3 linked regions of the Lonchura striata genome follow. The protein of the gene in region 2 interacts with the protein of the main gene of each other region in a pairwise test. Links are inferred from orthologs where the notes say so. Each region holds a gene or a part of one and is shown on either strand. Other genes may lie near its edges. The genes, in order: WIPF1, GRB2 and WIPF2.

Region 1 (5,178 bases), on a different chromosome or scaffold from region 2:
TGCAAAGAAGTGCTTCCCTCCTTCTAAAGGGCAATCAGAACAGGAAAACACACTGGCTGGGTTCTCCTTATTGCTCACTGAGGCCAGAGGACCCAGTTTATTCTCAAACAAATTTAAGACCATTCTTCCAACTTCAGCATAGCATACATACTATAGCAAAAACCAACATAAATGGTGGAAGGAAAACAGAAAGGCATAAAAAGCCACGGATGTGATGGCATGACTGAACAGAGTTATCCACTACAACAGCTGCTCCTAGTAAGAGATATGACTCAACAACTAGCTTTGTAATTAGGAGGTTTCTGTAGTTTAGGCTAGAGAAAAACACGTGCAAAAGCTGAAACAAATGTGTGGGGGAAGAAAAGGAGAAGCAACAGCCTGGAAGATGTGAGCTGCAAATAATGCCCCCACAAAAAATACACTCGACCAATTGATGTATTCAGTATTAGAACCAACAAAATAAAATTTTTAAAAATCAGTAATTTTGAAATAAAATGTAAGAACAGTAGCCATTCAGCATTTTACATATTTACTTATATTTAGAAATCAGTTTCAAGACCCCAGTCCCTCACAGCCATGCAATCTTTGCATAAGCTATGTGGTGAAATGCAACCCACAAGGGGATTCTGCTATCAACTCTCTGAAGCTGGTCTGTGCACTTCCGGTTTGCTTTAGCTGGTGTTGCACATTTAATTCCTACTTTTTCCCTTGCAGAGAGTAGAATAACCCTGTGCTATGGATCCAAGTGGACAGAAGTTCAACAGTGCAATGCAGCCATGTTGTTTCTGGGGAGTAAAACCGGCCAGTGATTCAGGTGAGTGATATTGAGTGGTTTATTCTATTTATTTGCAGAATTAAAGATTCTTTAATGATGGTTTAATCTAAATTTGAAGCTCCCTCAAATCAATAAACTGCTATATTAGCATTGCTGAAGGGAAAGAAAAAAAAGCAAACCATTTAAAAAAACATACAGAAAAATGAATTTTTCTTCCATAGATAATATACGTACAAACACACGTACACAGTCTCTCCTCCTTCTGAAGTGCAGCAGAAGAATATCCTTTGTTTCTTAAGAAGAGAATTTGTCCCCATCTGGTTTCATTTTTTTATTATTTTCTCTTTTTTGTTTCCTTCTCTATCATTCCAATGCAATTTTAATTCATTTTGTTTAGTCTGTACTTTTTATTCCCTTTCCTCTTTTTGCAGATTTCCTTTCTAATTTGTTAGAGGAAGAAACATTCTTTCCCTGGTTTCCATAATACAAGCTGCTGGAAAAGGCCCATTCAGAAATCCCCCCTCTTCAACAACTCTCTAGCTCTTTCAATCCTGGTTGCCTACATTCACTCCTGTTAGCAGGGTAAAACTGTTAGGGCTTATTTGTTTAGGCATGTGTGTCAGTTTATTTTTTAACTCCATTTCAAATACCTGGCACAAACCACTGCATGGAGGCTCAAATATATTATTTACGAGCCATTACACTTAGCTTAAAACAACTCCTAATCTATTTGAGATGAGTCGCTATAAGACAGGATTAGGCTGAAATGAAAATGTCTGCAGTGGGATTTTACTAAATTGCTTTTAAATCACTGTCCTAGTTAAACAGTGCTCCAGTGAAGACTATAAACCCTAATACATCAGAAAGGTTGATTTGGGGCAGAACTCTGGCTCCCTGAAAACTTGCTGGTTTTACAGAAGCAGAGGAGCCCAGCTAAGGCCAAAGCCTTCTCTGCGTATAAAGCCCCAAAGCACAAAATACGAGAGCAAAGCTCTGCAAGGCTGAGCCACAGAGCTGTTTAACTGCCCAGGAACAGGGCCCTGCTATTCCCAGCTTGCCAGGACCCTCCATGCCCTGCAGCAGGACCAGGTGCAGCATCCAACCCCACGTGCAGGAGGCGGCAGCAGCCTGGCCCGCCACGAGCCACTGCGCTCATCGTGCGCAGATGTTTCTACACTGACCTCAGGATGAGTGCTCAGGTGGTACAAGGAGGGTGAGAGAGCTGTGAAACTTAGTCTGGTTTTCTACGTGACCAGAAAAATATTTTTTTACTATTCGGGAAGATGTATGGGCAGCTGTAGGACTTCTTGCCTGACGCTCAGATCTGATTTTAATGCTTGGCATGGCCTTGTCACAGCACTGGCATCCCCAGCAGCAGCTGCATTTCCTGTGAGATTGCTGCCACCATCCCTGTCCAAGCCCCTCTACCTCACAAGCTGTGACCCTTGGCTAGCAGGGGACTCTGTGCAGAGAGAGCTCCTTGGCCTCCAGCCACCACTGCTGGAGCTGGCTGTGGAGCCATCACCTCCTCTTCCCCACACTCTCCCAGCACCACGTGGACTCCACACTGCGATTTCATTTTAGTTCAGATTCTGTGCATTTACTATATTATACATTTTATTATCCCGAAAGTTCTTTTCTTCGTAACTTTCACTCCAACTTTGCATTTCAGATTTGTAATTAATCACAATTGCATAGTATTTTAGAAGTAACAAATCTATATTTGTGCCGGGGTAAAAAACATAGATCCCATTAAAGAGTCACCCTCTGAGAACTCCCAAATTCACCAGCACCAACCTAGCTTCATTTCATTCCTGATGCAATGTGCTCCCAAGTTGAAACACTCCAGCACAGAAAAGTGCAATTTCTCAATAGAAATCACCAGGAATGAGAGAACACCTTTAACAAGAAACTGTGCCAGTAAAATCAAAGAGAAGAGCCAAAACAGCCAAAACAAACTAAAATAAATGTTCACTATAGTCAATTATTTTAACCTCTACTTGGAAAAGTGCTTTATAGTATTTATTAACACTGAACACATCTATTAAAAATCCAGACCTTTAACTTACTTTATGGAAGTCTTAAGATGGAGAAGATTTCATCCACACTTCTAACGTGACTCAGGCCACACTTCTGCTGTACTGCAAGGCAGGCTCCAAGATTTGCACAAGCCAAGCTAACTCACAGATGAGCTTCCTATTTTTGCGCTGTAGAGTTCTGCTCGGAAATCCCATGCTGCTTACTACCCGCTACACAACTGCCATACAGAGCACTCCTCAGCCACTGCTGCCACAATCCAGTGAAAATACATGTGCAGAACCCCTGCAGGACAGCTAAAGAGATGTTTTAAGAGAACTAACCTGTGCTATTTGAATGTGTTGGAGGTCACCCAGTTCTGAACTTCCCCAGCAGCTCCTGTCTCGTTTCCTGTGGAGGAGCATGTGACACACACTTCCTCACCGCACCTTGCTAGACTCGCTTTGCTTGCATTTTAACATCAGATGAAACAACTAACTGTCCCTCACAACATGTTAAAGAAATTTCTGATCTAATGTTGAACCACTGACATTTCTGCACAGCCAAAAAGCCCTCCTCTACTGCCTTCTGAGTCACTCCGTGATTCAATAGACCTTTTTGTACTGTATATTAATACCAAATGCCAAATGTGATTCTGCCACAGTCTACTCAGTGTGCCAGGCCCCCTTTAAAAAAAGGGGAAGCAAATGCAGTAGTGGAGAATGTAATTACACTGCAGGCGTGGGAAATTTCAGTTCAAGGGTATTTGTTTATCAAATGTTTGGAGTGGTAGTGAATTGATGAATTCAAACAGATGCAGTCATCAGCAATTTTCAGAAATACTTTCATTTGAATACAGTAAACACAAGTTTGAGTTCTATGAAAAGTAGTTTATGTATTCAGAAGAGCAGAGATTTTCTCAGTTGTATCAGTGTGCATTCACATATTGTTATCTAGCACTGGACAAACAGGTCTGAACACGCCACAAAAGGAAGGACAGTAAAGTCCTCTACTAGAGTACTATGTTTAGAGGACTAGTCAATAGGTGGTGCTTTATCATTTTTTTAAAGACACATAAATTTTGGAAAGGCAATCTAACCCTGATTGCACCACCAGGTGCACTGATACAGCCTGGAGATAAAGTTTGAAGACTACCACATCACAGTAGAGGCAGAATGGTCACACCAGAGTCAGCAAGGAGATACTGCTCTGCTGTGAGATGGTCCTTGTGGAAAACACTAAATACACATCAATCAAGCTAAGGGGTGAAGATAAAATGCTGCATTCCTTTATTTAGTAACAGAATGCCTGGGGAACTGATCAGCCTGGCAAGGCCTGGGTGAAAATAGTGGGTTACAAACCCAGAGGGTTTCCATTACAGACTGACTGCAAAGATCTTTGCTGGGGCATAGATTGCTTTAGCTGCACCTAAGTGCAAATGGGAAAACCTTGAAGGTAGGAAGAGAATGAAGAGACAGTGATGCTGCAAAATTTGGGAGGGAAACGGTTTTGGCAGCCACAGTCATTTGTGGCTGTCCTGCCTCCATTCAGTTCTTCCACTGCATCCCTCAGTTGCTCCAAGTGTGTTGGCACAGTTGTTCCACAGGCTGTGCCACGGACCACACTGAGAAGCTGATCTAGAGGTCAAAAGCTCATGAGATTTTCCCCCCTTTTCTCACTTTCAGGCAAAACCAGACAAGTGCTAGTAGGAAGTTGGCTCTGCCACTACCCAGGCTGTCACACAAAACCATGGCTACAGTGAGAGACCAGAGCAAGCCAATCGGAGCTGCTTCTTTTCCCATGGGTAGATGAATTCTATGCAATTTCTACATAAATTAAGAGGTTTCCACTGAAATGTCATCTTTATAATTAAACTGTGCCAAATGAAGACATCAATGTTGTGAGCAGCCTCCTGGTGACCACCAGCCAGGGATTACATTCCCATCTGCTGCCTCGGGGCTTCTTACCAACACTCACTAGTTCATTACTATCAAATGAGCCAAAGTAGCTCCAGTAATTTATATCAGTGGGTTAAAATAATTGGAAATGGAGTAACAATGGTTTTGAGAATACCTCCTATCCACAGAGATGTGAGAAGAGTCATCACTGGCAAAGAGGCAGCAACAAGAGGATTTACAGAGCAGCAGCTAAGTGTTAAACAAATTACCCCCAGCTAATAAAAGATACAAGTATTTTATGTGTAAACATGCATAGGATGCCCATGCAAAAGGAAATACATGCATGACTGAAAAACCCCCAACAAACTAGCCCATAAAATGAGACTCACACAAACACCCTTCTCATGCATGCACTCTGAGCTCCTGCAGATGTAGTAGGAAAGCATGTGCAAACATATGTCTGCAGATGCACCTGCTCTGCCCCCACTG
Region 2 (3,600 bases):
TTTCCAGCACAATTCAAGATGAAAGAGATTCATCATGCAATACTCTTTAAACATGCATTAGTACTACTACCACCATCAGATATATTGTCAGCATACAAAGGAGTGATGTTTCCAGGTAACAATGTTAACAGCAGCTGCAGTGTGCAGCAAAACTTTAACTTTCCTGACTTTAGACAAAAGTGTAGCTGAAGTTTAGGCATTAAAGTTGTATCTGAAAGAGGGAAAAGCTTTGAAAATATTAAACCAAGATATTCACACAGCAAATATTAGGAAAGGTAAAGCCAAGGCATAATTCCCTTAAATTCTCTTAAGGAAGCATTTGCTGCTTACAATATTATTAAATAAGTTCTTACACACATTCAGCCATGCTGTTATTAAAACATGAGCAAGCCAACTGCGTGAGTGGGGAAAAAAGCACAGCTGTATCTGGTTCAGGCAGAGAGCAGTGCAACAGGACACGTTACTGCAGTGAACCCAGTCCACAGACTGCAAGTGGAGTAAGACTGGTATGAATGAATAACAGCCAATATATGAATACAATGATTACATGTTACAAAAATTTTCAGATGATCTTGCTAGAGAAATGACTAAGACTTCTCAAAATATCAGTGTTTCTCACCTTACTGTGACTTGGGTTAAGACTTCCTTTGCTCTTAAAAATACTGGGAGGGGTAAGAGGAAGAAAAGGCAGCAGATGCAGCCAACAGTAAATGCTCATTAGTAGTAGTGCTGCAGCTCAGGATGGAATAAAAGTAATTATAAATACAAACCTCCCTGTAGTGGCCAACAGGAAACAATTCTCATGCTCACTTCAACAGATATTTCAAAAAGCACACAGGCAAAGGTGAGCTTTTTTCATTACTCTTAGAAACAGCATGGTTTTTAAACAAAAGAGAGCTTTCTCATTGTTCTCTTTTCACTGTTTTACTGCTCTTCTGGAAAGTGATACAGGCAGGAATAGAACAACAGACAGTTTAGAAAAGCCAAAGAGAGGCAAGATAGATTCACTAGGAGATTTTGGAAAGAATCAGATCCTCAACTTCATCAACTGTTTTAGGACAAAACATTATTGAGGGTGTTGGAAAGAAAAATGTGTGCATACATCATCGGGAAGACATGCAGAAATGCAAGTGTCAGGCTCTAGACAAAAGAATAGAAAGTTAAAATTGTAAGGGCAGAACACTAATTCAAATTAACCAAATAAGGAAGTATAACATAATAAAGGAACAAAGTAAAATATAAATTAGATTATTAACATATAAACCCCAGAACATTCAGGATCACAATTATCCCCCTGATCTACCAGCTTAATGCGATTCAACTTCCTTCAGCACCAGACAACTCAAGATATTACTTACAAAACTAAGCTACAGTACAAAGCACAGAAAACTTCACCTCTGCCAGAATTTATTTACTGGCAGTTCTTTTTTTTTTTTTTTTTTTCTTATTTTAAACATTGTAAAACTGCTTTAAAAGTTACAAACTTAGCTGGTATGATGAAACACCCAAATATGGCATGACAATCAACCTAAGAGATGATAACAACTGAAAGGTCTTTTTGTGGCACAAATTCTAAATTTCCAAAGTTGGCACAGAAATGGATTACAAACAACACTGTGTTTGAAGATTGATTAACCATCTGTGGTCCTTCAGATTTTGTCCCTTGACCCCAGGCATTTAATAATTTTTGAAACAAAGAATTAACTTCCCTAAGCACTGTATCTGTGAATTGCTCTTGCAGTTACTAACTGTGCTACAGAATAGTTTTCACTGTAGGTTATAAAAGAGGTGTCTGAGTCAGATGTTGTGGGAGTTAACAAGGCTGCATCCTTGTCTTCTACAGATTATTTGAAACTATATTGGCAAGTCAAACCTTGTCCCACAAAACCAGCACTGGTTCTGAAGAAGGAGGTTCAGAAGAGAAGGAAGAGGCCAAGAGAAAAATGTCCTTCTCCGTCACAGAAACGCACGTTTGAAGCATGACCCCAAACGTGTTTGGAGACAGTGTAGCAGGGATGTTATCCTGCCTACAGGGTACTTGCAGCATTTTAACCTTTGGAAGCGGCCTTAAGTTACAGAACTCGTTTTGGGGAATACAAAAGGTAAGCCCCAAGAACCACGACCAGCCACACGCCGCAGCCCTAGAGCAGAGAGAAAAGCGACCCCCGCCCGGTGCTGCCCGTACGCGAGCCGGGAATCTCGCCGAGCAGATGACGCCTCTGGAGCCCAAAGCTCATTTCCACCACCCCCCCACCGGCAGAGCCCGCATCCTCTCCACCCCCCGCGACCCGGCCAGGCCCGGCGGGACACGGGGCCGGCGCCGAGGCGGAGCGCAGCGAGGAGAGCGGAGCACCGCGGGGCCCAGGCCGCGGCACCGGGGGCTCAGCGTGCGCCCTCCCCGCTCCCCGCCCCGGCACGGCCCCCGGCGGGCGGCGGCCCTGCACAGGCCCGGACTCACCGCGCAGCGCTGGGCGCTCCCGCCGCCTGCCCGGCCCCGCGCGGCCCGGCCCGGCCGCCGCTCCAGCGCCGCCTCAGCCGCCGCTCCGGCCCCGGCCCGGCCCCCCGCCCGCCGCGCCGCCGGTCCCGCCGCAGCTCTCGCGAGAGCCGCGCTGTCAGCGCCCTCCGCGGGAGCCTGCGCGCTCCCCGCCCCGCCGGCAGCGCGGGCACGCCTCGCGCGTGCGCAGCACCGGCCCGACCTGCCCTGCCCCGGCCGCGGGCGGGGACAGGCGGCGGCCGAGCGGCGCGGCGCGCACCGGCCGCCACGGGTACCTGAAAGGAGGGCGTAGCCAGGCGGGGCTCGGGCTTTTCCAGCCCACTAGCCATAGGACAAAAGCGCAGCGTGAAAGCTGCGCCAGGGGAGGTTCTGGTTGTATATCAGGAAGAATTTTTCCACCGAAATGGTTATGAACCGCTGCAACGGGCTGCCCAGCAGGTGGTGGAGGCACCGTCCCTGCAGGTGTTTAAGGAAAGACTGAACCTGGCACTCAGTGCCATGGTCTCGAGGTGTTGGATCACAGGTTGGCCTCGCTGGTCTCCGTGGTCTTTTCCAACCAAATTGAGTCTGTGATTCTGCTATCGAGGCTCTGTTAACACCTTGGGGAGGAGGCCCTGAGTTTCTGGAGGAGAAATCACGCTGGCTTTGTGCACAATACTTGCTTAATTTGTCAGTGTCTCCACTTCTCTGTAAGACAGGGCCATGTGCTACACCATGGAGCCAGCAAGGAGGAATTGATCTAGAAATTCTCTAACTACCAGAGATGCACCCCAGCTTGTCCAGGCAGTGTTTGAGCAGACACCGAGGCGTGCAGAGCTGCTCCCAAAGCTCAGAGCAGAGAACACACCTGGTGAGCCGTTCCTTGACAACTGCCATCTCTCCTGAGCAGTGATTAAGGCACCCATGCTGTAGGAACAAATAGTTTAATCACACATGGCAATTACAGCATCCACAGAGACAAAAATTCAGATTGCACAGGCAGCTAATGTCAGGGTTTGCATGGATGACCCTCCTGACATTCTTTTAGCTTGAAAATACTCTTAATTATACAGTAAAGCAGTTGCTCAGGTAAACATCAGGCCTCAATCCTTTGATAAAGGCATAAA
Region 3 (5,178 bases), on a different chromosome or scaffold from region 2:
CAGATCAGGCCCAGCCTGGGAGACACGCCATGTTTTCCAGACATTTTTCAAGTCCCTGTTTGCTGTGGAGGGAATTGAAACGCCCTCCCCAGCAGCAGCCCCCACCCCGGGGGGATTGCTGCTGGAGCAGGACAGGCAGCAGCAGTGACCTTCAGCCGCCTATTTCCTCGCTTTTCAGGGGGATTTGGGCTCCGGGCGGATTTGTATTTCACATTTGCAAGCCCGAGCTGCAGCGCCTCATCCTCAGGGAGGCTTTGAACTGCAGATCAAGAGGAATTTCCACCCTCTGATGTCGGTGCAGAAATGCGGCCGCACCGGTTTGGGAACGACTTCCAAGGCTGGACCTCTCCAACACCCGCCCCCGCGCCTTTATCTTCCCTCTCTTCCCATCCAAACCCGCAGTTCCTCCTTACCCCCTCCCAAATTCCAACCCTGTCCTCCGCAGCCTGACATTCCTGCCCGCTCCCGAGGAGCTGAGGATGCTACATAAATAATTTATCCTGAGCGACAGCCATCGCAGGATTTAAGGTCATTCAGGCTTTTAAAATCCTATCAGCATGCTTCCCGAGCCGAGCTGCCAGCTCCATTTGGAGCATCCCGCGGAGCCGGCGCATCCCTGCGTGCAGACAGACAGACACGCTCCGGCCCCGCGGGATCCAGACGCTCCCTGTGAATTATTAACGACCCGCGGGCTCTGACGAGGCATTTTTAACAAAAACCCCGAAGTCCAGAGTTTCTAATTCCTCAGAGATGGGCTCCACAGCCTCAGTTTCTCCATCCACCCACAGCTTCTACAACCTGTTTCCCTATCCATCCTCATCTCCCACATCCTCCGTTTTCCTCTACACACTTTCCTTGGCCTCAGTTTCCCCATTCCCAGTTTCCTTGGCCTCAGTTTCCCATCCCCAACCAAGAACCCCTGCAGCTCAGTCTGTCCCTTGCTCCCAGCTCATCTCAGGTCACCCAGCAGAGGAAACCTTTAATCAGGAGCAAGGCGCCCTGTCCCGAAATTCCGCTGCAGCAAAGGGAAAAGCAGGAAAAGCCCGTCCTGCCAGGCCCGCAGCCTCCCCTGCCGCTCCCCCTTTTCCGAAAAGGCAAAAGGAAGCCGGGAAGGGAGAGGTGGCACACGAGGGGCTGGGCAGGGACCGAGGGGCTGGGCAGGAAGCGCTGAATTGTTCCAGAGGGAGGAAGCGGCAGGAGACGCGGGCACTTCCCGGTTCCTTCGAGCCGGAGCTGGGAATTCCGGGTGCAGCGATCCTGACAGCGATCCCAACAGTGGGATCCCGCCGCGGGGATGTGCTCCCGGTGCACCGGCCTTCCCACCCGCGCTGCCTGAGGCACGGTGGTCGGGAACGCCGTTGGACCGGGAGCGGGGAATCCTGGATGCGTTTCCCTGGAGCAGGAGGAACAACTCAGCTCCAGCATTGTCCTGAAAAGCCTGTCCCATCCCTGGAAGTGTTCCAGCTTGGATGGGGCTTGGAACAACCCCTTCCAGTGGAAGATGGGATTTCAGGTCATTTCCAACTCAAGTCATTCCAGGATTCCACGGAACTCTGTGTCCATGGTTGTCCCTAAGCCACTACAGGCTCCAAAAAGTCCACCCCTCCCTCTGTACCCCAAACAGGGTCGTCCCCCCCGTCCTGACAGGCCCCAGAGCACGCCCAGAGCGGGGGTCCAGGGGGTCCTGGGAGGAGTGGAGGAGTCCAGGGAGTCAGTTTGGGGTCCTGGGAGTTAGTGTGGAGGCCCCAGGGGTCATAGAGGGGGTCCAGGGGGATCCTGAGAAGGGTGGAGGGGTCCTGGGTAGACGCAGGGGTCACACTGGGGGTCCCTGGCTCCTGGTCCTACCGGTTCTGGACAGCCCCAAGGGGGTTTTGGGGAGTGGACCCTGAGGTGACCCAGGAGTTAGGGGGGAGGGGTCAATGGGGTCATGGTGGGGGTCTCAGAGGCCATAGGGGGAGCATCAGGGGACACTCTGGGGTCAGAGCCTCCATGCTGGGGGTCCCTATGGTGGGACCCCAAGTACTCAGCCCCATCATTTCTGGGCGCCCCCAGGCTGGGGGTCCAGGGGGTTCCTGGGGAGGAGTGGAAGGGTCAGAGGGGTGCCAGGAGTCACAGTGGGGGTCCCAGGCCCCTAGTCCTGCCAGCTCTGGAGACCCTCAGGTTGGGGGTCCTGGAGAGGGGTCCCTGAAGTGACCCAGGGGTCAGGGTGAAGGGGTCCAGGGGTCAGTGCAGGGATCTCAGGGCAATCCCACAGGGGTCAGGGTGGAGGTCCCAGACCCCTGGCCCCGCTGGTTCCAGCCAAGCCAAAGACAGGAGCCCAAGGAGGGGCAGAGAAGTCCAGGAGGTCAGGTGGGGATTCCAGGGGGTCCTGCCAGCTGCAGGCACACCCAGGGTGGGGGTACAAGGAGGGTCCTGGGTGGGGGGGGGGGGTCCCACACGTTACTCAAGGGTCAGGGTGGAGGGGTCAAGGGCAGCACGGGGGTCTCAGTGGAGCTCCAGGGGACGGCTCTTAGAGGAGACCGAGAGGTCAGAGTGAGGATCGCCATGGTAGTGGGGTCACAAGCCCCAAGACCCGCACGTTCTGAGCACACCCAAGCTGGGGGTCCAGGGTAGTTCTGGGGAAGGGTCCCGGACGTGACCCAGGGGTCAGGAGGTGGGAGATCTCACAGGCGGCGCAGGGGTCAGGGTGGGACGCTCCAGGGGCTCCATGTGTGGGGGCTGCAGCCCCCCGGCCTCGCCGCTCCCTGTCACTCCACAGCCGGCCCCGCGGTCCCTCCGCCGGCCCCGGGCACCCCCCGGATCCGCGCAGGCCTCAGCGCACCCCCCGCCCCGCCGGTCCCGCGCTCGGCACAGGCCCCACGCAGCCACCCCAGGCCGCCACACCCCGCACAGGCGCCCCGCGGCCGCAGTCCCGGCCCCCCGAGCCCCGCCAGCCCCGGCCCGGCCCGCCGGTCCCCCCCGGCCCTCCCCCGCTCACCCGCGGCTCCTCCCGGCCCCGGCCCCAGCCCCGCCGAACGAAATGGCGGCCCCGGCCCCTCTGCGCCTGCGCGGCCGCACCGGATGCGGGCGGGGCACGGCGGAACGGCGGCGCCATGATGAGGAGGTCGGGTGGCTGTGAGGGACGCGCCCGTCACCGCCGTACCGGGGAGGGCACGGCGGCTCCGTGAGCACCCAGTGCCGCGGTGTGCCGGTGACCGAAGGCAGAGCGGCAGCAGCGGGAAGAAATTCCCCGCTCTGTGCCGAAAGGAAGGCCCCGGTGCTGCGACAGAGCACGGCTACGCCGCCTGTCTCACCCACCCCTTCCGCCATATTGAGGAGGTCGGCTGAGCCCAGCGGCCGCCATAGTGGGAGGGGTGGCGGAAGCCTTTTGTGGCCGCCATGTTTAGAAGGTCAAATGTTGGCTCGGCGCTGCCGCCATCTTGGGAAGGTCGGCTCCATCCCCCGCCCGTGACGTCACTGACAGCGAGGCAGTGACGTCACTCCCGCCATGACCTCAACCCCTAGCGTGACGTCAGAGACAAGTGACCCCAACCCCTAGCATGACATCAGAGACAAGTGCCGGGACAGACTTTTATTGGGGCTCCCCGCCCCATCCCCAGCTTGGCTTTTTTTTTTTTGGCTTTTTTTTTTTTTTTTTGCCTTTTTTTCCTCCTTTTTCTTAAAAAATAAATGTACAATTCCGGACAGCGGCGGTACAAAATATACACGTCTGGCGGGGGGAGGGCCACACATACAAAAATAGAGGGGCTGAGGGGGGGACATGGCCACCCCCCTCCAGGGGCCCCTGTGCCCCAGCCAGGGGAGGGGGCAGGGGGAGAGGGGTGCGCCGGGGCGGTCCCCAAACCAACCCCCCCCCAAGGGTGGGGGCAGCACCCAAGGGCCGGGGCTGGGCAAAGTGCGTCAGTGCTGGGGGGCTCCGGGCCCCCCGGGGGGGTGCCGGGGTTTGGGGGTCCCGGGGTGGGCCCCCCCTCACTGGCTGCCAGGCTCCAGCTTGTAGGAGAGCTCGAAGAGCAGGTTCTGGTTGTCGATGACGCGCAGCTGCCGCACGTAGGCCTTGGTCTGCAGCTGGGCTGGGGATGCCTCCAGCTCCAGGCCTGGGAACGGCCCCAGAACAGGGATGGAGGGATGGGGTTGGGAATGGGAATGGAGGGGATGTGGGGATGGAGGGGATGGAGGGGATGTGGGGGATGTGGGGGATGTGGGGATGGAGGGGATGGAAGGGATGTGGGGATGGAGGGGATGGAGGGGATATGGGGATGGGGGGGATGTGGGGATGGAAGGGATGAAGGGGATGGAGGGGATGGAGGGATGGAGGGGATGGAGGGGATGTGGGGATGGAGGGAATGGAGGGATGGAGGGGATGAAGGGATGGAGAGGATGTGGGGATGGAGGGGATGTGGGGATGGAGGGGATGTGGGGGATGGAGGGGATGTGGGGATGGAAGGGATGAAGGGGATGGAGGGATGGAGGGGATGGAGGGATGCAGGAAGGAAATTGGGATGGCAACATGAAAGTGGGGATTGAAGGACAGAAGAGATGCAGGGGATGCGGGTGAAGAGACAGGGACGGGGATGGAATGGCCACATGGGAATGGGGATGTGGGGACAGGGATGAAGGGATGAAGGGATAGGGATCCAGGCATGCAGGGGTGCAGGGTGAAGGGATGAGAGACGAAGGCGTGGATGAGGGATGGGCATGCGGGGATTTAGGGATGCAGGGACATGGACAAAGAGGTGTACAGGATGCTCTGGCCACATTCCCATCCCTCAGGGCCAGCACTGCCGGTTCAGGGCCGTGTGGGCCTCCCCTGCAGTGCCCCCCTCACCCCTGCAGTGCCCCCCTTGCCCTGGCACTGCCCCCTCCCCGTCCCCCCACTCACAGAGGGGGCGGCTCCGGTACTTCCGCACGGTTCTCACTTTCTCGGCGATGCAGTGCTGGGGCACAGAGAGACCCCAGAGTCAGCCCCAGCCCCCCGAGACCCCACCCCATCTCCTCGGGGACCACTGACCCCTCCAGGAGCCTCCTGCACACCCCCCACCCTCAGGGACCCCCCTGGATCCTGTTTGCACCCAGGAGACCTTGAACCCTCCCCCAGAGAGCCCCAAACCCTCGGGGCAGGGGGGCTCCTCCAGCCCCTCAGGGGAGTCCCTGCCCCCATCCTGGGGGTCCCTCTGCCCC

Evidence for each region.
Region 1: the proteins of GRB2 (region 2) and WIPF1 interact in binary tests that used the Homo sapiens proteins (3 or more experiments, as listed by UniProt). The link is inferred for Lonchura striata from reciprocal best matches to the Homo sapiens genes GRB2 and WIPF1.
Region 3: the proteins of GRB2 (region 2) and WIPF2 interact in binary tests that used the Homo sapiens proteins (3 or more experiments, as listed by UniProt). The link is inferred for Lonchura striata from reciprocal best matches to the Homo sapiens genes GRB2 and WIPF2.

The regions. Positions count from the first base shown.
Region 1 is NC_134610.1:21,547,521-21,552,698, forward strand, and holds the start of WIPF1 (WAS/WASL-interacting protein family member 1), read right to left. Parts: upstream 3,236-5,178; 5' UTR 3,136-3,235; intron 1-3,135. UniProt on the Homo sapiens protein: Plays a role in the reorganization of the actin cytoskeleton. Contributes with NCK1 and GRB2 in the recruitment and activation of WASL.
Region 2 is NC_134621.1:5,254,990-5,258,589, reverse strand, and holds the start of GRB2 (growth factor receptor-bound protein 2), read right to left. Parts: upstream 2,503-3,600; 5' UTR 2,459-2,502; intron 1-2,458. UniProt on the Homo sapiens protein: Non-enzymatic adapter protein that plays a pivotal role in precisely regulated signaling cascades from cell surface receptors to cellular responses, including signaling transduction and gene expression.
Region 3 is NC_134627.1:6,966,989-6,972,166, forward strand, and holds the start of WIPF2 (WAS/WASL-interacting protein family member 2), read right to left. Parts: upstream 3,029-5,178; 5' UTR 2,978-3,028; intron 1-2,977. Other genes in the region: RAPGEFL1 (rap guanine nucleotide exchange factor-like 1), read right to left, coding at 3,970-4,094, 4,880-4,934. UniProt on the Homo sapiens protein: Plays an active role in the formation of cell surface protrusions downstream of activated PDGFB receptors. Plays an important role in actin-microspike formation through cooperation with WASL.